5 linked regions of the Mus musculus genome follow. The protein of the gene in region 2 purifies or fractionates together with the protein of the main gene of each other region. This does not show direct contact. Links are inferred from orthologs where the notes say so. Each region holds a gene or a part of one and is shown on either strand. Other genes may lie near its edges. The genes, in order: Parp2, Rnf146, Lig3, Xrcc1 and Chd1l.

Region 1 (4,081 bases), on a different chromosome or scaffold from region 2:
CCTCATCACCCCTACTTCTCAACTCTGGAGAGAAGTCATCACTAGCAATATTTTCGGAAGTATTTTTAAACTGAGCACCACCGACATTCTAGACAGGGATCATCATAAGACAAGAAAACTCTGCCTTCCATTGCAGGTGCTTTTACCTTTCCCAGCTTGGCTGCACACTCTGGGTCCACAGGGGCTTTGCCCTTTAACAGCAAGGTCTTCACAGAGTCTGAGGGAACACAAACACGCACTGCCGTTACTGATGTGGGAATCAAAAGGGCCGTCTTGGCTACAAAGCTGTCATAATTAACTTTGCCCTTCCCGAGCAGTCCAGGTCTTCTGCCTGGGTTCTAATCCATCTCAAATCTATGAAAATATTCAACAAAGTAGACTGGTACTGCAGAATGCCCAGGTGATAGAGAAATTAATTAGATCCTGAAGAGGGAAGGAACAAATGTTATCCCCATTCTTCTGGAAACCCAAGAGTTGTCCCATGTCCTCCCTGGCCCATTACCTCGATTGTCTTTTGTCCTGTCTGCGTCCTTCCCTCCAGCCATAGGCCCTTTTCTCTGGCACGTGCGCATCTTCTTGCCAGGAGGAGAGTCGTCTTCTGTTGCTTTGTTGCCATTATCAACTTTCTTGGCTTCATTTAGCACTTATGGCAAGAACAATATACCAAGAATTACTGCACTATGAAGATGATCTAACTTTACTGAAACAACACTGAAGCAAAATAAAAACACAGGAAAATTAGATGGCTATGAAAAGGAAAAGCAGCCCCTCCTATCCCCGAGTCAGGATGAAGCCTCTCTGAAGTTGAGAAGCAAGAAATTCAGCCCAATTAACATTCTATGAAGGCTGCTGATGCAGATCTTCAGATATTTTCATGTTAAAATGACACTGAATTGGGCTGTCGGCCTAAATGAATATGACAATGGGCCTGGTTCATTTCTTTCCCATTTTATGGGAGTCTTAAACAGACCACGAGCATTGTTGACAATGCTGATAACCTAACTCCCTGCATCCCTTATCATCCAGACTTGGACTCTGGAATTCTGTCAGATCTCCTCAGGAACTGTGATCTCATTTAAATTCTTTAACAACTCCTTGAAGAGCCAAAAATCACAAATCTTACATACATGTCTATTCTAAAGACAGTGAAGGGTGATTCTTCTTTGAGAAGCCCACACTCATGTTCTGTGGCGTCTCTCTTCCCAGTCATTCCGTTTCTTTTAACCCTTGTGCTTAAAACATATATTGGCATCTCCTGTAATAAACTTCCAACTTTGGTTCATTTTGCATACTCTTGAAAGTCATTTCTACTTTAAAGGCAAGAATACTAGGTTTGCCTGAGTGGAGGTCTCTGAAAAACTAAGGTTGCTGTCAGAGACAGTAGAGTTGTCTCTGCCCTTGACTGTTAACAAACATAAAACCCAAAACAAACAAAGAAACAAACCCCCAAAGGTTATTGTTTCCTTTTACGTGTATGGGTGTTCTGTCTGTATATGTATGTGTGCCACGTGCATGTCTGGATGTCTGGTGTACCTGGAGGTCTGGGAGGGTGGTTATGACTTGCCATGTGGGATTTTGGAATCAAACTCAGACCCTCTATAAGGGCAACAAGTGTTTTTTTTTTTTTTTGGTTTTGTTTTCTTTTTTTTTTTTTTTTGGTTTTTCGAGACAGGGTTTCTCTGTATAGCCCTGGCTGTCCTGGAGCTCACTTTGTAGACCAGGCTGGCCTCAAACTCAGAAGTCCGCCTGCCTCTGCCTCCCGAGTGCTGGGATTAAAGGCGTGTGCCACCACGCCTGGCTAACAAGTGGTTTTTAACATTGAGCTAACTCTCCAGCTTCTTGACAACCCTCCTCCCCCCACCCCCCTTTTTAAATGACAGGGTCTCTATATAGCCCTGGCTGTCCTGGACCTCACAGAGATCCTCCTGCCTCTGCCTCCCAAGTGCGAGCATTAAAGGTGTGAGCCAACATGCCCACCAGGCTCTCATAATATCCTTTAAAGAAAGAACTTAAAGTAGCTGGAGAGGTGGGTCAGTGATGAAGGAGCTGCCTGATTCTTCCCGAGGCTCTGGGTTTAAGTTCCATCTCTCATATGGCAGACCACAACTGTCAGTAACTCTAGTACGGGGGGTCCAACACTTCCAGGCACATACATGGTGCATATATATATATATATGCAGATAAAATACATAAAGATTAAATAATTTCTAAAGAAATAATTCAACATGCTCTTAATAACTTGCACACCACTCACTGAGCAATACTGCCTAAATTGCTATCCTGATGGGATATTAATAATAGGATAAAATAAGTTTACATAGATCTTTACAGTTCATTACATGGGTCTCATAGCCTTTGGTCTCTAATACCTTCCTTCAAACTAGACCACTTCATCATGGTCATCAGTAAAGTGTTCAACGGTCTGGACTGACCAACTTGCTGCCAGCGTTGCTATTTGGAGCTTTAGAACCTGTAAATTCATTGAACTTTAGTTGCCCGAAATATAAAACCGAGACCACAGACACAGTATACGGTCTACAGACACCAATTCTAAGATTCGAATTTTACTTTCTGAAATCGGATGTATCTTAAAAGGTTGACTACAGCTAATCACTTTACTGTAAGCGCTTATCCGTGACCCGCCTCTTTGGACTGAAGTGTAATATGAAAAAGCGAGAGGCTCCCTGTGACACTGGGCCGAGCATTCAGCCTGCGGACTGAGTTCCCACCTCGCCTTCCAGAGCCTGATCTCTGCCGCCGCGGCGCCATCGCTCTTGAAGGACGACGTCATCATCCCTTGCCCGGATGCGCGGGCTTCTTGTCTAGCACAGGAGCCTGGGGTAGAGCGCATGCAAATTACGCGCTGTGCTTTGTGGGAAATCACCCTAAACGAAAAATTTATTCCTCTTTCGAGCCTTATAGTGGCGGCCGGTCTACATCCTGAAAGTGGGCGGAGGAAGCTCATCAGCGGGGCCACGTGCTGAGTGCGTGTCACTCTTCGGCCCCTGGGAAGGTCTGAGACTTGGGCCTCCCGCGGCCCTAACCGGGCTCTCCCCGAGCGGGGAGGTGAGTTCCCAGAGAGCAGGGCTCTACGCTTGGGCAGACTGGGCAGGAGAAGCCCCGAGTCGGGGCGGATGCCTCCCTCGCCGGAGCGGATGCCTCCCTCGCCGGAGCTTGGAACAGACTCACGGCCAGCAGTGCGAGTTCAATGGCTGAGGTGAGGCACCTCCCGGGCCTCATAACCCAATTCAGACTACTCTCCCCCGCCCTCTTTTTTGATCGAGATCCTTTTGGAGTATTGACTCGAAAGGGTTTTATATATTTACTCTGTGTCTCAGCATTCAGTCAGTCATTCATTCATTTTGAACAGTTGTGACTGTATTGACCACAACCCTCTACTATAAAAAGACCAAGCTTGAGAGTTGTTCAAATATGGATTAAACCATAAAAATATAGAAGGGAGTTTGACAACATTTAGTGAAACATGATATGAACCCCCTCCCACTGTTGGATTTTTGGGGCTATACTTTAGCTATTTGTCTAGCAAAAATAAACGTAGTTCATACCTTCATGTAACTTGTTATTGGGAGAATATATATGTAGACTTATTACAAAACCAAAAAAATGAACCTGTAACTGTAATAAGTACTTAGGAAAAGCACATAGTATCATAATAGAGAAACAGGCTGGGAATTCCTCATGAAGTAAATGAGCAGAGTTGAGCTACAGCGAAGAACACTGAGAAAGGAGAAGCAATTGAGATAGGAGTGGAATAGGGCTCATACCAAGCCCAGCTTTCCTTACAAAGGCGCGAAGCTGTGACTTGACTAGTGTGTGGATGCCTCAGATCGATTAATGACCAAAACTGAAAAATAAAACTTTGATTACCATTTCCCGTCCCTCATCTCCTCCAGGTCTCCATCCAACTAACTCCATGTCCTCTTGAGCTTTCTTTAGAAAACAGGCAATTAAATTAAAAAATAAATAAATAAATAAATAAAAAGCACAAGTGATACGTACACAAACACATACAAACTCATTAAAAAAAAAAAAAAAAAAAAAAGCTGGGTGAGCCAGGCAG
Region 2 (3,765 bases):
TAGGATTAATTTTAAGCCAGCCAAACTTTTTAAAGATCCACCGTCCCTAGATAATAAACTTGAATAAAATATTGTTTCTTTAAGGAAAAAAAAAGGCGAATCAAAGAAAAAAGATGAACATATCACAATAGAAATAAAAATATAAATGTCAAATTATATACAGTTGGACATTTTCTGCTTATCCTATTTAAAGTTAAGGTGTAATGAAATAAGAGTTACTCAAACAGAATACACTATATAGAAAACATATCAATAGGGGGACTACAAACCTTATTATGTGTATCTGTTTACTTACATATGTCTCTATTATAAACACAAGAAAAATGAGTAGGGGTCAGATGGGATTTAACAAACACATCTTAAAACTTCTTAAGAAAGATTCCCAAATTCACAAGTATGTAACTGTTACAATGTGTCAATTTTTATACTTCATCATCAAATCAGTTTTAAAAGTCTAAGTTAAGCTTGGAAATAAGTGTTCTGTCAAAACCCAGTTCAGTTAAGTGGGGTTCCATACTTTTGAGGGATCTTCTTGCCTTGTGTATGACTGCCCTTAAGAAGCCCCATCCTGTGACTCTATTTACTTTTGTCTCCGTCCTTATACTTAAGTGTAAGGCTTTAAATTCCTTCTCTGCAAAGTGGGCGTTGTATTGATTTCATTAACTCATGAGATACAAATGTCAATTTATATTTATATGTAATACATGTATTCTCATCTAACAGATGTTTCAGGCTGGCAGACATTCTATAAATAAGAAAGTCCTCTTATTAACTGGTGAGTGACCTTTGCCAAGTTATCCCTATGCTTTTGTTACTTTGCTCTAGCCAGCCTCTGTAATTGGACAACTCCAAACATTTTAATTAGCAGGCCTTTAACAACAGGCTTTGTATTAACTAACTAGAAAGGTAAATGAGAGTATACAAAGAAGCAAAGGAAGCTGTAGACTAGTGTAAACAGTGTGTATGCTCAAAAAGACTGTTTCTAATCCACCCAGCAGTTACCCAAGTTCAGACTCTGTGATCAAGAAGGCAACCAAGCAAGGAGGTAGAAAAGACTCGGATCTTCCATCTCTCATACTGATAGGGAAATGTGATAAGTCCTTCAAACTCATATATGGCTGACAGAAAATATGTTTTAAACAGATGGATATGAAAAATTCTTCCTATTATTTTCTTCTTCAAAGTCAAGGAATCATGTTGGATCCAAAAAATAAAACAAAACAAACCCTCCAACAGTTTCAAAGTGGCACTTTTACTAAATGGCATGTCTCCTACAAAAAAAAAAAAATCATTTATGTTTGCATTCCTGTTATCTAATGAACAGTTATTTGGGACATTTCCCCATGACTACAATTCGACTCAGTTCTTAAACAGCACAAAACAGAAACTTTCAAACGTTTAATAACAGGGTTTTCATTCTTTCCCCATTACACACGCCCAATTAAGACATAAATAAACTCTATGATATCCAAGACCCAAGCAAACATATCCAAAACTCCATCTTTACTGTAGCAGTTACTCTTGAGTTTTCTCTAAAATGAGATTTACTTCACCTATTTTCAAGTGTTTCTACAGCTCCCAGACGCTTTTCACGCTCTGCTAGTATGTGTGGGTCGTTTTCTTAATTTGTTCTTTAATATGCCATGTTCTTTAAAAGTCTAATGATACAGATCATTTATTGTTATGTTCTACGCATTCAACTTCTATGACAATACGTGCCTTTCAATGCCCAAGCTCCAGGTGCACATCTAGTTTGCAAAAGAACACACACACACACACACACACATACACAGATAAAATGTAGTTGTCAGAATGCGTGTGCTAACTTACAGTGGGGAAACATCTTACCTAATTATAGAGGACGGTTCCATTTCCACATCCTCAAAAACAATGTCACATAGCCCTTTCTCTTTAAAAAAAAAAAAAAAAAAAAGTCCAGAAAATAAGACAGTGACAACAATGGGGATCCCGTGCGCTCTCAGATGGGGTGGAGGGTTAAGGAGAAAACTCCACATCCAGCAAGCAGAACAAAGCGACTGCCGGAGCTCTCAAGATGCACCCGGCTTGGGAGGCCCAACTGGTATCCCGACACCTCAGGCTGGTTTCGGGTTTGGGGAGCCATCAAAACAAGAACGCTCGGCGGCTTCCGCCAGCGCGAGGAGGAGGGGACGACTCCGGGCACTGGGCAAGACCCAGAGGCACAGCCGCGGCGGCGGCGGCGGCGGCAGGGCAGGCGGAAGATAGCATGCAGCCCGTGGCCGACTGAGGCCCGGTCGAGCCCGCTGGAGCTGCCCGCAGCCTGGCCTGCCTGCGCAGTAATGGCCGGGGCCGCGCCCGTCACAGTCCGGGCTGCGCCAGCTCGGCCTCCCTCCGCGCGCCCGTCCGGGCCGCGCTGGCCAAGGGCGTCCCCGTCCTACCGGCCCCCGACCCGCCGCCGCCCGCCGCGGACTCCGAGCGCCGCCTCGCAGCCAACGAAGCCGCAGTGCCCCGCCGAGGCCCGCAGCCCACGGCCCCCCGCGCTCCTCACCGGTCCGGCCCGGAGCCCACCTCTCGGCCGCCGCCGCAGCCACCTCGCAGTCTTTTCTCCTCCGCTTCGGAGCCCGCAGCGGACGGGGACGCGCGCGGCCGTCACGTGACCGCCCGGCGCTCAAGGGGCGGGGCCGCGCCGGCGGAAGCCACGCCCCCTCACCGTGATCCCGCGCGCGGCGGCCCTGGCTGGCGGTCCCCACGCTGGCTGCTGCTCTTCTCTGTCCCTTGCTGCGACCGGGCTGCTCCTTGTCCCTGTTCCGGTCCTCCCTCACCCTCTGCGTGGCGCATCTTGTGGCCTCCTGGTTCTGAACTGGTGGAGGTCCATCTAGGTGGCTTGTGGGAGGAAGCTAGACCTTCAGTACCAGGAAGAAGAGCCTTTCCAAAACTCAGCCTTGGGTCAAGTCCTATGTTTCCTTTGGCCGTGCCCTTGGAGAGACTACCGCTTGTTCCTTATACAAAAAAGGCACAAGAAAAGTCACGGCGTGGACTGGATGGTCCCCGAGATGCTCCAATTTATTCACCTCACAAATGGCCAGATATGTAATGGGAGAGGGGGTGTGCTGGGGTGTCTTTTAAACCCTAACAGCATAGGAAGCTAGAAGAAGAAATCGTCCCGCGAATCTAGAATAAATTTCATGGGTTAGTTTTATGGCAAGCATATGGTGTTACACATCAAAATCTAGTCCTTGTTCATTTTAACCGGCACATGATCTTTTTCAGAACAGTTTTCTCTACTTGAAGTTGCACAAAATGGACCAGAGAACCTTTTCACCTTTGAAAGTATTTCCGCATTCTGTAACTGTTTGCATTGTGCTTGCAACAATGTTGCATTTTGAGGTTACATCCACTGTTTGAATTCAGGACTGAAAAATGTACTGTGCACCTATTTATAGGGTTTCAAGGCCACTGATCCAAAGGAAGAGCTCATCTGCTTAACATTAATAGCTGTAAATCCAGAGCATGGGTTCGGGTTATTCATTCAGTTGTTATAGGAAATATTATATGAACTTTTATAGCCTGAAGAGAAAAGGTTGTACATCAATGTACGTTGAAAGGGATAAGACATTGAATAGGTGAGTCGATGTGAGCAAGCATGTGGGTCTATTTCATAGGCTTCAGATGTTAAAATATTCTTAATTTCAAAGGGATCTAGCGGTAGGAGGCTGATTCACCTTACTTGAGGATCTGGGTTCAATCCCTAGTACCATTGAGGGAAGGGGTTGGGGGGATTAAAAA
Region 3 (4,261 bases), on a different chromosome or scaffold from region 2:
TTTCATTCATTTAGAAGTAGATGCAGGCAACATGGCAGCGTCAGATGCCTTTCATCCCAGCACATGGGAGGCACAGGTAGGTGGATTTCTGAGTTTGAGGCCAGCCTGGTCTACAAAGTTTGAGTTCCGGGACAGCCAGGGCTACACAGAGAAACCCGGTCTAAGAAGAGAAAGCCTTTGCAGATACCCACTGCTCCTCACCACAGGCTTTCTGTCTGTGGAGTGCTGAGCTGGAGCCATAACAATGGGAGTTAAGCACGCAGCCCCATCGTTTCTGATGCCCTAGTTCAAAGACAGTAAAACCAAACAGGTGAGTGACAGTAAATATTCTTTAACCGAACACATAAAAAATTGGCCAGCAAATAACTGGAATATATGCACTATTACTATTAATGAGGTATTTTACTCTCTTTGGGGAAGTGTTGGGTACTTGTCAGTGTACAGTGTTCATTTACAGCATCTCTCACTTCAGACTGCTTACATTTCCAGGGCTCAGCAACCGAATATATTGCTTGTGATGAAAGGGTTGGTCAGCACAGGGAAAGTCCATTGGGTTAAGATCAACTCCAGTCAAAATGTTCACGCTTCCTCAACTGGAGCCCTTGAGCCTAAGGCCTTCCGAACTCCAAACCCAGGTTTATCCTGCTGCAAGTTAAGAGAAAACAAAGAGCCTTCACCTCATTTCAAACACCAGGATCTAGCTGGCCTCAGTACAGCAGACACTCAACCTTGAACTCCAGAGAGCCTCCCTCGGCTCATTCTCCAGTTCTGTTAAAGACCTCGTCTATCAGCCCTTCATTTCTATGAACAAATAACTGAGCACCTCACACAGATTCAAGCATACACCTTCCTCTCCATCTCAAGGCCACTTTGATATGGACAACAGCCTTTTAGTGAGTCGGCTTGTCTTAGTCTCTCCCCTGACCAGCTTCAACTATAGTGACCCCTCACAGCGTTCTTTCCCTATGGAAAAAAAGCTAAACTCTTCCTCAGAAATAGAACTTAGTTCCACGATCTGCACTTTATTTACCTAACAAAGCCCAACTGTTTGCCCTTCCCAGACTGAACAAGGCCTGAATACTTTTATTTTTTGAAAAATTAGCCATCTTGAACTCACAGAGCCTATTTGAGGTTTAGAAGCACTAGTTCGCTAAATGACATAAACGGGGCCACAGTCCCTGTTCTTCACATTTTCTAATTACCTTTTTAATTAAAGTAGTGCCTTTTAATTCAGCAAAACTCCTGCGGTGCGGAAGACACAGGTGGAACGACTCGAGCTTCCCATCCCTAGGATCACTGCAATGATTTTTCAACACTACCTTCAATATCTAACAATCTGAGAAACTCTAGGAAGTTCAGGGACGCTGCGCCCCAAGCCGCCACTCCAACCCAACACTCAGTTCAAGATTTCCGGGTAGGAATAGAACAGCGACCCACGTGGCGACCGGAGGGGGCGGGGTCCGAGGGCGCAAGTCGGTTACTGCGCCTGCGCCCTGCCTCCGGCTGGAGTACCCGTATTTAAAGAGACAGGCGGTCTATTCATCGTGCGGGACCCGTGGCCTTGTGGGCGCCTGGTCCGGTGGCTCGTGCGGAGCGTCAGAGCCAGGGCAGCCGAGAAGGCAGGTGAGGGGCGGCGCGGCGCGGAGCGGCGGGCCGCGGTGCGCCGTGTGGGGAGGGCCGGGGCCGAACGCGGCGTGGCTGGAGTGGCCGTGGCTCCTCCCCCGCCCGCCGCTCAGCCTGGGGGCACACCCTCCGTGACGTGGCGCCCCCACGGGAGCCCACGGGAGGCCCGCGGCCCCCGGGACCCTGGGCAGCCACCGGGAAGGGCAGGATGCCAGAGTGGGCATTCTCAGGGGGTCGGGGCCGGGCCGCCGCCGGTCCCTCTCCGCCGCCTTGTTGCGCGGCCGCGGCTCGCCCGCACAGCCTGTGGGCAGAACGGCGTGCTGCTTGCTCTTCGGGCTCCCGGCCTCCTCGCGCCGGTCTCCCCGGGTAGTTATTTGTCGTATCCCGGGATGGGCGATACGACACCCTACCCACCCTACTCTGCGGAAAGTTGAACTCCTACTCGCCCTGAGCTCCTCCTCAGCCCTTGCCGGCCTTCACTCGCCTCTCAGATTCTTAACGGTTAGGGCTTGTGTGACCCCCTGAGTCTGCCAGTTACGGACCTCCCCTCCCCCAAGTCGAACATTGTCAAATACACAAGTTTGGTATACAAACTTCAGAACTCCACGTCCGGCTTGCCCTCGTACTCCTTGTAGTTTTCCTAACCACCCCATGAAGTAGTTCTAATCTTTGGGGGGTTTGTTTTCTTGCTTGTTTTCCTTTTGAGACGGTCTTGACGACGTACCCTGGCTAGACAGAAATTTACTAAGTAAACCAGACTTTCTAGCTTCGAACGCACAGCAATCCTTCTGTCTTTGCCTTCTGATATGATTACAGACGAGAACCACCATAACTAGCTCTTAGTCCTGTTGTAATTGTTGTTGTTTTTTTGTTGTTTTTTAAGATAAAACTGGGGCCGGGTGTGGTAGCACACGCCTTTAATCCCTGCACTCAGAACACTAGCTTGCTCTTCCTAGTGACTTCCAGGACAGCCAGAGCTACATAGAAAAATCTATCTAAAAACAAACAAACAAAAAAACCGAAAAATAAATAATAGAAAATAAACTGAAGTCATGCTTGGTGGTTCATACCTATAATTCTAGGGCTGGAGGTGGGAGGATCGGATCGGCCAACTAAGGTGTCTGGCTAGGGTCCACCTTGTTGGAGAAAACCAAGTCGCCTGATATCTGCCCCCACCTCCCCACCCCGCTGTAGATGGGTAGGCTTGGTCTCCAACCCTTTCTTTAGTAGTACACCTGCTGTGCTCCGCTCTACCTCAGCCTTCTTGCTGCTCTGACACAATATCAATTAAAGTTCTCAGCAGAGTGGGGACTAAAAATAGTTTCCAGTAAATTGAAAATTAAAACTGTAAAGCCACTTAAATAATTACAGATATAAGAAGGGATAGGAATAATCATTTTCCACTTGAATTGGTTCATCACTTGCTTAGATTCTTACAGTCCAGTTATTTCAACCTCCCCTGATTCAGGTCGCCGAATTAAGCAAGGGAATTGCGTATTCTGTTTCTAAGGAACAACTTAGAAACAGCTACTCTTTGAATGAGGTACTACTGTGAGCTGCATTTTACAGATGAAATAGGAGCAGAGAGGGAAAGTAACTGAACAGAGCTCACACAGCAGCTAAATGGCTAAGTAAGGCTCTGAACTTGGGCAGTCCATCTGATTATAGACTCTGATTAGTTTTTTTCTCAAAGGGGCCCTCTTCTGAAATCCTAAAACTGTTATAGTGGCTTCATTGTTTTCTGAAAGTGTCTCATGTGTTATATTTCACAGGGAAACTTCATAAACATAATGTAATTTTTCTTGATTTTTAAGACAAAGCTTCAGTATCTTGGTACTATTTAAAGGTCACCATCCACTATGAGTACCTTTACAATCAGTCTCTACAGTGTTGGTGTTGCACACCCCTTTGGAAACTGGTTTTTCCTGTATCAGAACTCTGGGTGGTAAATATTTAATGCATTGGGAAGTGTTTGGTTAACCACGTGCTCTGTATGAGATTCTAGCCATTGAGAAATTGGAAGCCTGGATTCTTCATGTCTGTCTGTCTGTTTCTACCCTTTTATGCAGCTATATGACTTTGGCTTTCAAGATCCTCTTCCCGAGAAACCTTTGTGCCCTTGGCAGAAAAGAACTGTGCCTGTTCCCAGAACAGAATCGCTGGGCTGCCATAAGTCAGTTCAGCCAGTGGTCGGAAACAAATCTCCTCGGTGGGTGCTGCCTTCTCCAGAGAAGAAAGCCTGTCCTAGCTCTCCAGAGAGGTCATCTAAGACCACGTGCCACCCACCTTACTTTCTGGCCAGGGTCGCATGTGGGACTCTGTACTGGCCCCTGTGCGATGGCAGAGCAGCGGTTCTGTGTGGACTATGCCAAGCGGGGCACAGCTGGATGCAAGAAATGCAAGGAGAAGATTGTAAAGGGCGTGTGCCGCATTGGCAAAGTGGTGCCCAACCCCTTCTCAGAGTCTGGGGGTGATATGAAAGAGTGGTACCACATTAAGTGCATGTTTGAGAAACTGGAACGGGCTCGGGCCACCACAAAGAAAATTGAAGACCTCACAGAGCTGGAAGGCTGGGAAGAGCTGGAAGATAACGAAAAGGAACAGATAAGCCAGCATATTGCAGGTGAGGGGAGAGCCT
Region 4 (4,054 bases), on a different chromosome or scaffold from region 2:
GGCAGCTCAGGCAGAGGTACCTGACTCTGAGGTCTGGGTCCTACATTTGAAAGGGAGACTGAGGCCCAGAGGTATCGCTGGCATCAGTTCCTTGGTCCTGACAGAGGAGGAACCTAGCCATTTGGGTCACAGGGACAGTGAAGCTGGCTTGGAGTACTGTGTCTAAGTAAAAGAGTAAGATGAGGTCCTGAATCCCTCTAGGTCCAGAGAGAAAGGCCATCTCTCTCCTTATTACTAATTTTAAAGTTTGCCTTTGATGGCCAAGCTCTCTCATCTGCTTTCCTAGAATTCAGATGTCATGTTCTGAGGCCCTTCCTAGAGGACAGACCATGCAGGGCCCATCAAGCCTTCTCAGACCCCAGGTTTTCACCTCTTTATTCTCCTAAATCTCATTTCTCAGGCTATCCCTCTCTTGAGGACATTGCCCAATGCCCTCTGAGGTACTGGGGAAGAGGACCAGGTCCCTTTGTCACTTACCGAGACCCAGGAGGGTACAGAGCAGTGTGAAGGCCAGCAGGAAGGTCCTGTGTCTTCTAAACAGAATCATGGTGTGTGAACCTGTAGTCCCAGGTCCTCAGCCCTTATAAGAAGCTGGGGAAGGGCGGGTCTGGTCCCACCTTCACCCTGGGGTGAGAAATAGCTGAGCTCAGAACCCATGGGAGTCTTCCACAGCCTCCGGGTCAGAGCCACGGAACCAGCATCCACAAGAAAACTGAACCACTTGGACCCAGCCCTTTTCTGCACCTGGGCCCAAATTTCTTCCACCTGGACCCAGAAGCTCAGTTATGTATCCAAGCACCTTTTTTTAATTGTTGTTGTTCACAAATCTTAAGGTAGGAGTGGGTCATCTGATTCCCTGAGGGTGCAGAGCAACTTTGGAGACTGGCATCCATCCTCTTCTCCTTTCCCAAGGAGGCGCCCAGCGTAGGTTGGGTCCTAACCGGGGAGCGCCCAGCATGTCTAGACCCGTCCTGCGGGGGCCGGGCGCCTTGTGGCCTTTCCTTTCTCTTTCGTGTGCCTGCCTCACCTTCATGCTTCTGTATTCGAGCTGTGTCCAGCTCCAACCCCACCCAGGGATGTGCCCCTGGGTCTTGAGGGGACTGAACAAAAGAGGTCCTGTCAGCAGACAGAGACGGGCAAAGTTGGAGACAAATGCTTACAAGGCATTGGGGAACCAAGGTATTTGTGGACGCACGCAAGTATATTGTGCACAATTTGTATTAAGATCTTTCTCCCTCTCTTTTGGTGTTAGGTCATGAGCTAAGAGAGGTCTGAGATCTTTGTCGGCCATCTGTCTGTCGATGTTCGTCTCTGTGTGTCCATCCGTCCGTCCGTCTGTTTGTCTGCATTTGGAGAGAGAAGGGGAACAGAGCGTGTCCGCAACAACAGGTGCCAGAGATCTTATTTCAAACAGGATTCAGGCTTCAGGAAACTCTCAGCTTCAGCGTTTCTGAGCAAGGCTCTGGTTTGGTTGGTGACCTCACGGTCCAATGACCAGGGCAAATTACACGTAGGACCCAATCACTGAGGCCGCTCTTGTTGCTAGGTTCCCAGGAAGCCGAGTCTCCACGTTATCAGGCGGCTAGGCCGGAGAGTGGTGGAACCTGAGAGAGGCGGGGCCGGAGGGGGAATGCCTGTTGCTAAGGGAACCCGGCGCCTCGCTCGCGGAGAGGCCCAACCGAGCATGCGCAGTGTTGACGTGTGCGCCGGCGCGCCGCGGTTTGAAAGGCCCGAGCCTTGCGCGCTTGCGCACTGAGTCCCGTGCAGGGCGCGCGCGCTCCCCCAACCTTCTCCGGGGGCCCCCCGGAGCTGCAACCCTTCTTCTTCATTCCCTGGACGGTCGGGCGTCCACGGGCGTGGACATGCCGGAGATCAGCCTCCGCCACGTCGTGTCCTGCAGCAGCCAGGACTCGGTGAGGGGCTGACGTGGGAGCAGCGGGGAGACAGGGGCTTCCTGAGGGATGCTGAGGACTTTGGAAGCGCAAAGGGGGGGGGGGATCTTGGCGGGATTCTGAGCGGGGCTCCGGGTGGGGTTTCCAGAGGCTGGACGTGCATTCCGAGAGAGACGGGCAGTTAGGGAAGTTTGGGGCCACTGTGGAGAGTAAGGAAAAAGAGGGGCCTGGGAAGTTCTAACTGTGAAGAAAAACTCGGTGAAAGGAAAACTCGAGGCAGGGGTGTGTGTATGCGTGTGTGTGTGTGTGTGTGTGTGTGTGTGGTGGGACTGGCGTGAAGTCAAGTGTGGAGAGTCGGCTAGCTCTTGGGAGTTTAAACATTCAAAAATAATCTTATTTTTAAAAGTCAGCTTTATTTAAAGAACTTCCACCTTTCCACCCTTGCCTGCAGACCCATTGTGCCGAAAATCTTCTCAAGGCGGACACTTACCGGAAGTGGCGGGCAGCCAAGGCAGGAGAGAAGACCATCTCTGTGGTCCTACAGGTGATGCTGCCATCTCCCACCTCCTCATTCCCGGGGCAGTGAGACCCCCGCTCACATTCCACTGCCAGCTGGCTGGAGGTTGAGTCGTTTCCTTTCTGTAGTAGAGAGCTTGCTCGGCTAACTTGCCTGGAAAATGGGCTTAGAAATCCCTGTGCCTCCAGGAATCCTTGGGTAACCCTGAGTAGGTTGACTCTACTTCTGGGCCTCAGTTTCATCAGCTGGGACAGTGTCAGCCATTACTGTTAACTGTGTCCCCCGGGGCCAGAAGGTGGCCAAGAAGAGTATCTCCATAAATCAGTTTCATTGTAAAGACGACCGACATGGAAGGGTGGATGGCTCAGGCCTGTAATCCTGGTTGCTTGGGAAGTTGAGATAGGATAACAAGTTCAAGGCCAGCCTGCACAACTTAGAACCTGTCTGGAAATGAGAAATAACTACCCTCACGAGGACTATTAACATAGGATTAGGCAGATAGCTCGGCTGTTCAGGGCTTGCCTGGAGCATGTCAGACCCTTCCTTGGTTCCATCCCTAGTACCTCAGAGAGTAAAGGAATGAAACGTGTAGGGAAGGGAAGTTTTGTTTGATTGGTTTTATTGTTTTGTTTGTGAGATAGAGTCTCTCTACGGAGCCCTGGTTGTCCTGGAACTCACTCTATAGACCATGCTGGCCTCCAACTTACAGAGATCCTCCTGCCTCTGCTTTCAGAGTGCTGGGATTAAAAGCATGTACCACCCCACCCTATTCTCCTTTTAAAATTTTTCTTAAATTGAAGCTAGTCTTGAACTCCTGATCCTTGTCTGTCTATCTGGGGCAGAGGAGTTCCAAGTGTATACCATCATGCCTAGCATCTGTCAGTTTGCCTTTCCTTCATTTAGCTTACAACACACACACACACACACACTCAGTACTGTGCAGGCTAGGCAAGAGGTTACTAATTGAGCCATGTCCCTATCTTTCTGACTTTGACTACTTTTAAATTTATTTTAAGCTGGGCAGTGGTCATGGCACACCTTTAATCCCAGCAGTTGGGAGGCAGAAGCAGGTGGATCTCTGAGTTTGAGGCCAACCTGGTCTACAGAGTGAGTTCCGGGACAGCCAGAGCTACATAGAGAAGCTCCCATGGGGAGTTAGGGAGTTGTTTCTGACAGGTACAGAAACTTGAGGAAGGGGCTAGAGAGATGGCTCAGTGGGTAAGAGTGCCAACCGGTCTCCCAGAGGACTGAGTTCAGTTCTTAGCACCTGTGTCTGATGGCATACAGCAACAGCCTGTAAGCCTAGCCCCAGAGGCTCTCATACCTCTGGTCTCTGGGGCTTCATCCCCCTTTCATACACATATTAAAAACAATAAAAATGTATCTCAGGGCTGGAGAGATGGCTCAGCGGTTAAGAGCACTGGCTGCTCTTCCAGAGGTCCTGAGTTCAATTCCCAGCAACCACATGGTGGCTCACAACCATCTGTAATGGAATCCGATGTCCTCTTCTCGTGTGTCTGAAGACAGCTACAGTGTACTAATATACATAAAATAAATGAATAAATTAAAAAAATGTATCTTAAAGAAAAATCAGTGGGAGAAGGAAATTAGATGCTTTTAAGCACCTGCCCACTGCCAGTTGGGT
Region 5 (4,290 bases), on a different chromosome or scaffold from region 2:
CTCAAAACCAACCCTTGGTAAGCATTTCTAGTGACTTGGGGACTCAAGAGTACGGTCAGAAGTGCTGCCAGAGTTTTGATTTGGGGGGACTCTCAACAAACCAGGTCCAGCCATTTGCCCCTCCCCCCCCAATCAAATGGAAAAACGACTAGTGAAAAAAGGACTGTATTCAATACAGCTCTATTGGAAAACGGGGGCAAGTTTGTTCAGTTCCACTGGTAAGGGACAGATAACACACTATGTTCTTGTAAGAGCCCACTAGTAGTTCATATTATAAACAAGAAACTTCAAGTACCCACTGAGAACTGTTTTTTTTTTTTTTTTTTTGAGTTAATCTTTAACCTCAACGTAATTGATCACAGAGGGGTGCGATGACCTTGGTGTATCTGACACCTCCACTCTTGATCTGGTTGTACCTCAGGTCTGGTTCTGTGTGTTCCTGGAGAAGTCTGTATAACGGGATAATTGATCACAGAGGGGTGCGATGACCTTGGTGTATCTGACATCTCCCCTCTTGATCTGGTTGTACCTCAGTTCTGGTTCTGTGTGTTCCTGGAGAAGTCTGTATAACGGGATGGGTAAAGTCCCTTAGTCATTAGAGGACTACTTCTGCATAGTGGGGCCAGCCTTGGTCCTTCTTAGGACAACGTGGCCATTAGTTATTTGTTATTTGTTTTTGTTTTTATCACACATAGATGTTCTGTTTGAATGGCTACTCTTGGAATCTTGAGGGGATGGGGGGGGGGGAAGTTCTCTCGCACTTTATTTTTAAGAAAAGGTTTACTGCACCTTAGGCTGGTTTCAAACTTGTGTAGCTGAGGCTGACCGTGAGCTCCGGTCCTCCTGCCGACAGCTCCCTAGGGCTAGGATTACAGGTGCTCACCCTCATGCCCCACCCGAGGGCTTGGTACATTCGAGGCAAGCATTCTGCTAACTGAGCTTTGATCTTTATTATTTATTGACACCTTCCTGCTTTGCAGCCCAGGCTAGACTGAACTCACAAATTCTCCTGCCTCAGCCTCCCCAATGCTGAGATTACAGGAATGTACCACCAGGGTCTTTTCTTTGAATGTATCTTGTCACTACACATTTTAAGAGATAAAGTTAATCTTATTTTGGTGTTTTTAGTCATACATGAAGAAAAAGGTTAGATAATATAAGACGTATCTACCTTGTAGTACTAGTTTTTAGGCATGTGCATCGTAACTGAAAACATGGAAAGCTGCTCAGGAATCGGACCCAAAGTTTAAAGAAGACAGATAAGAAATTAAGGGGGGGTGGGGAGCTTGCCAAGTTTTGAGCTTGCTGTTAGCTACCCAAGCAACCCAAGTTAGGAGTCAGAGCTTTTAGCAAAGGCAGCCTCTAGGTCCTAGTCGCAGACGCACACTTAGACCAGAGTCTTCCGCACCTGCGTGCTAAGGAAGCGTGGGAAGGCGCGCGAGCTGCGCCCTCTGGCGGCGGTGCGTTGTACTCCGCACGCGCGGGAGCGAAGGCGCGGGGCCTCTCGGGATGGCGAGCGGCTTGCCGCGCTTCCTGCAGGCGCTGCCGGCCGAACACGGGCCGGAGCCGCTTCGGACGCGGGTGCAGGAACCGGACTTACAGCAGTGGGGCTTGACTGGTGAGCGGGCCGGGGACGCCCGGGGGCGGGCGGGAGCCGGGAAGGCGCGCGGCAGCGCTGGCCTACGCGGGGACAGCGGGGGAGCCAGCAGCTTCCCGGCCGCTCTCGCTCCTCCCAGTCTGCGTTTCCCTGCCGACTGGGCATGCGCACTCACTTGTTGCGGCTCCCTAATGAACTCTCAAAGTTGCGCTGCCCAGCAAAGTTTGTCCTGTCCTGTGCCTCTTGTGCTTTCGTATTAAGCCCACTTGCCATTACGAGTCCCAAGTGAGGGGATCCCACATGTGTGGACCCCAGGTGTGTAGGCTCCAGATGTGTAGACCTCAGTTTGTAGGTTCCAGATTTAGAGACCGCCGGCCTGCAGACCCCAGTGGACCTGGAGCATCCTCATCCTGCGGCGTTCTCTCTATTCCACATCCCAAGACTCCTTTCCTTATGTGTCTGCTGGGAATGTAGTGCTGGTGTAACGGAAAGTCATAATGACTCACCAGTTGTCACCTCGTGGTCGTTATTTGTTGCTGTCGAGAGAGTACTGTGGGGTATGGGGAGCAGATAAACAAAATAAATAGCGGCCCTAGGACCCAGTTTCTTTACTAGCGGATACGTGCTTTTGAAAGCATAAGGAAGCGCTTGACTTACACGTGCCAAGTACCACCAAAAGGTGAGGGTTTGGAAAGGCAACAAAATGTGCCTTTCTGCCAGGCGGTGGCGCACCCTTTAACCCAGCGCTTGGAAGGCAGTGGCAGGTGGATCTCTGAGTTCAAGGTCAGCCTGCTCTACACAGCTAGTTCCATGATAGCCAGGGCTATGTAATAGAGAGACTCGTTCTTTAAAAAAAAAAAAAAAGTTCCGTTAGCTTAGAGGAGGGGCAGATGACGATGAGGGCGAAGTGAAAGACAAGCAGTTCATATTAATATTTTCCATTTATATTCAACTTTAAAATTTTTATTTTTGAGATTATAGTTACACCTCCTCTTTACTTCTTTACACTCTCATAAACCCTCCCATTCTCTCCTTCAAATCCATGTTCCCTCCCCCCACTTAATCGTTATCCTATGCTTATACCTATGTACATAAATACTCCTAGATATACTAGTTCAGTGTGTTTAGTGTCACTTGTATGTACGTTTCAGGGCTGACTGGTTGGCACTGGACAGCCAGTTGGTGTGCTCCTCCCTAGAGAAGACCCCTTTTATTGCTCTTAGCTTTTCTTAGTTGCCTGTAGTTCTTTGTGTAGGATTGAGGCCTCAATGGCTCCTCTCTGTTCATTTTGGCATGCTCACTGGTACTATCTGCATGTGTGGGCAGTCATGTTGGTGACAGTGTAAACAAAGCGTCTGGTGTTACTTGGAGACACAATTTGACAACAAAGTTTTTGACCTTGCTTTCTGTCCCCTCTTCCACAATACCTTAGGTGTGGATCTATCCATTGGGACTGAGTTCTACACTCTGCATTCTAATTGGTTGTGGTCCTCTCTATTGCTCTCCATCTCTGTCAAAGGAAAGTTTCCTTGATGAGGGGAGAGGACTGCGCTTATTTGTGGGTATAAGGACAAGTGTTAGTAGAAGGCAGCATTACAGCTCAGGGTTCTCTGATTCCTGTTTCTCAAGTCCTTCCACCTCTGGGCATGCACCCTAGGTCAATAGAAATGGACTGTCTATTTTGGGGATCTCCTGGACAGCCCCGACAGCACAGTTCAGTTGCCCTTTCTGTTTACTAGAATAAATGCAGTATTCAGAGATGGCAATCCATTGAAAACCTTCTGGCCTTTCTTCCCTGTATGTGCTCATGAAATAATTTATGCCTACAGAAAAAGAAATTTTAGTTTACAATCCTAACAACTCAAAAGAGGGCTTCTCATGTCTTCTATTTGGGTTTTTATTGGGTGGTCTTTGGCTCTGGGAGGGAGCATTGTCAGCCCAGGTGAGAAGAGTGTGTTAAAGCTACATATGTATATTTATACACAGATTTACATTATTATAGGTTTGTTTTGGTTTTAGATACGTAACTGTATGATTCTTTGTGACTTTTTTAGATACCCGTACTGTTATTTTACCCTCCTTTTTCCTTCTGAGTAGTTAGCTAGGTTTCCAGTACAGGTCAGACATGTTTTCCCTCTTGTTGAGCCAGTCTTTTCCCTTCCTCCCAGGAGAGTGCCCCCCTCCCCTTTATCATTCTCCCTATCTGTACCTGATTTAAATCTGGCTTTGTGGACTGGCCTTAGTGTATTAAGCTTATCTTGATTGATGTTTGTCTGCCTATATGCGTGCCAGTGGCCTTGGGATTGATACTTTAAAATATGCAGAAGGGCCAGAACTGTATACAGATCAAATCCAGCTGCATGTAATGGTCCAGGAGGAGCCTATGTGTGCAGGGGCATTCTTGATAAAAGAAAGTGAGCAGACAAGAGGGTGCAGGTTTGAATGCATGGGATAGATATGAAATGTAGATATTATCACAGCCAAATACTTATTACAGTTATGAATTTAATATTTTAGATTTATTATTTTATGTGTGAGTGTTTTGCCTGCATGCATGTGTATGTATTACATGAGCTCCTGGCTCCTATGGAGGTCAGAAGAGGGTATTGTATTCTCTGGGACTAGAGTTACAGATAGTTGTGAGCTTCCACGTGGTACTGGGAGTCTTGAGTCCCCTGCAAGAGTAATAAGTG

What was found.
Region 1: the proteins of Rnf146 (region 2) and Parp2 purify together in Homo sapiens (affinity purification with mass spectrometry; 4 studies listed by BioGRID and IntAct, counting the BioPlex papers as one, with this or other methods). This does not show direct contact. The link is inferred for Mus musculus from reciprocal best matches to the Homo sapiens genes RNF146 and PARP2.
Region 3: the proteins of Rnf146 (region 2) and Lig3 purify together in Homo sapiens (co-immunoprecipitation; 3 studies listed by BioGRID and IntAct, counting the BioPlex papers as one, with this or other methods). This does not show direct contact. The link is inferred for Mus musculus from reciprocal best matches to the Homo sapiens genes RNF146 and LIG3.
Region 4: the proteins of Rnf146 (region 2) and Xrcc1 purify together in Homo sapiens (co-immunoprecipitation; 3 studies listed by BioGRID and IntAct, with this or other methods). This does not show direct contact. The link is inferred for Mus musculus from reciprocal best matches to the Homo sapiens genes RNF146 and XRCC1.
Region 5: the proteins of Rnf146 (region 2) and Chd1l purify together in Homo sapiens (co-immunoprecipitation; 3 studies listed by BioGRID and IntAct, counting the BioPlex papers as one, with this or other methods). This does not show direct contact. The link is inferred for Mus musculus from reciprocal best matches to the Homo sapiens genes RNF146 and CHD1L.

Annotation. Positions count from the first base shown.
Region 1 is NC_000080.6:50,806,636-50,810,716, reverse strand, and holds the start of Parp2 (poly [ADP-ribose] polymerase 2), read right to left. Parts: upstream 2,802-4,081; 5' UTR 2,770-2,801; coding exon 2,730-2,769; intron 712-2,729; exon of another isoform or gene 644-711; coding exon 503-643; intron 218-502; coding exon 147-217; intron 1-146. UniProt on the Homo sapiens protein: Poly-ADP-ribosyltransferase that mediates poly-ADP-ribosylation of proteins and plays a key role in DNA repair.
Region 2 is NC_000076.6:29,359,437-29,363,201, forward strand, and holds the start of Rnf146 (E3 ubiquitin-protein ligase RNF146), read right to left. Parts: upstream 2,268-3,765; intron 2,234-2,267; coding exon of another isoform or gene 1,960-2,233; intron 1,910-1,959; 5' UTR 1,849-1,909; intron 1-1,848. Other genes in the region: Gm30698 (verprolin-like), read left to right, coding at 1,960-2,233, 2,268-3,073. UniProt on the Homo sapiens protein: E3 ubiquitin-protein ligase that specifically binds poly-ADP-ribosylated (PARsylated) proteins and mediates their ubiquitination and subsequent degradation. May regulate many important biological processes, such as cell survival and DNA damage response.
Region 3 is NC_000077.6:82,779,654-82,783,914, forward strand, and holds the start of Lig3 (DNA ligase 3), read left to right. Parts: upstream 1-1,455; 5' UTR 1,456-1,623; intron 1,624-1,742; exon of another isoform or gene 1,743-1,831; coding exon of another isoform or gene 1,832-1,989; exon of another isoform or gene 1,990-2,124; intron 2,125-3,692; coding exon of another isoform or gene 3,693-3,696; coding exon 3,697-4,246; intron 4,247-4,261. UniProt on the Homo sapiens protein: Isoform 3 functions as a heterodimer with DNA-repair protein XRCC1 in the nucleus and can correct defective DNA strand-break repair and sister chromatid exchange following treatment with ionizing radiation and alkylating agents.
Region 4 is NC_000073.6:24,545,447-24,549,500, forward strand, and holds the start of Xrcc1 (DNA repair protein XRCC1), read left to right. Parts: upstream 1-1,252; 5' UTR 1,253-1,389; intron 1,390-1,546; 5' UTR 1,547-1,862; coding exon 1,863-1,913; intron 1,914-2,343; coding exon 2,344-2,436; intron 2,437-4,054. Other genes in the region: Pinlyp (phospholipase A2 inhibitor and Ly6/PLAUR domain-containing protein precursor), read right to left, coding at 478-547. UniProt on the Homo sapiens protein: Scaffold protein involved in DNA single-strand break repair by mediating the assembly of DNA break repair protein complexes. Negatively regulates ADP-ribosyltransferase activity of PARP1 during base-excision repair in order to prevent excessive PARP1 activity.
Region 5 is NC_000069.6:97,607,391-97,611,680, reverse strand, and holds the start of Chd1l (chromodomain-helicase-DNA-binding protein 1-like), read left to right. Parts: upstream 1-1,490; 5' UTR 1,491-1,509; coding exon 1,510-1,618; exon of another isoform or gene 1,619-1,743; intron 1,744-4,290. UniProt on the Homo sapiens protein: ATP-dependent chromatin remodeler that mediates chromatin-remodeling following DNA damage.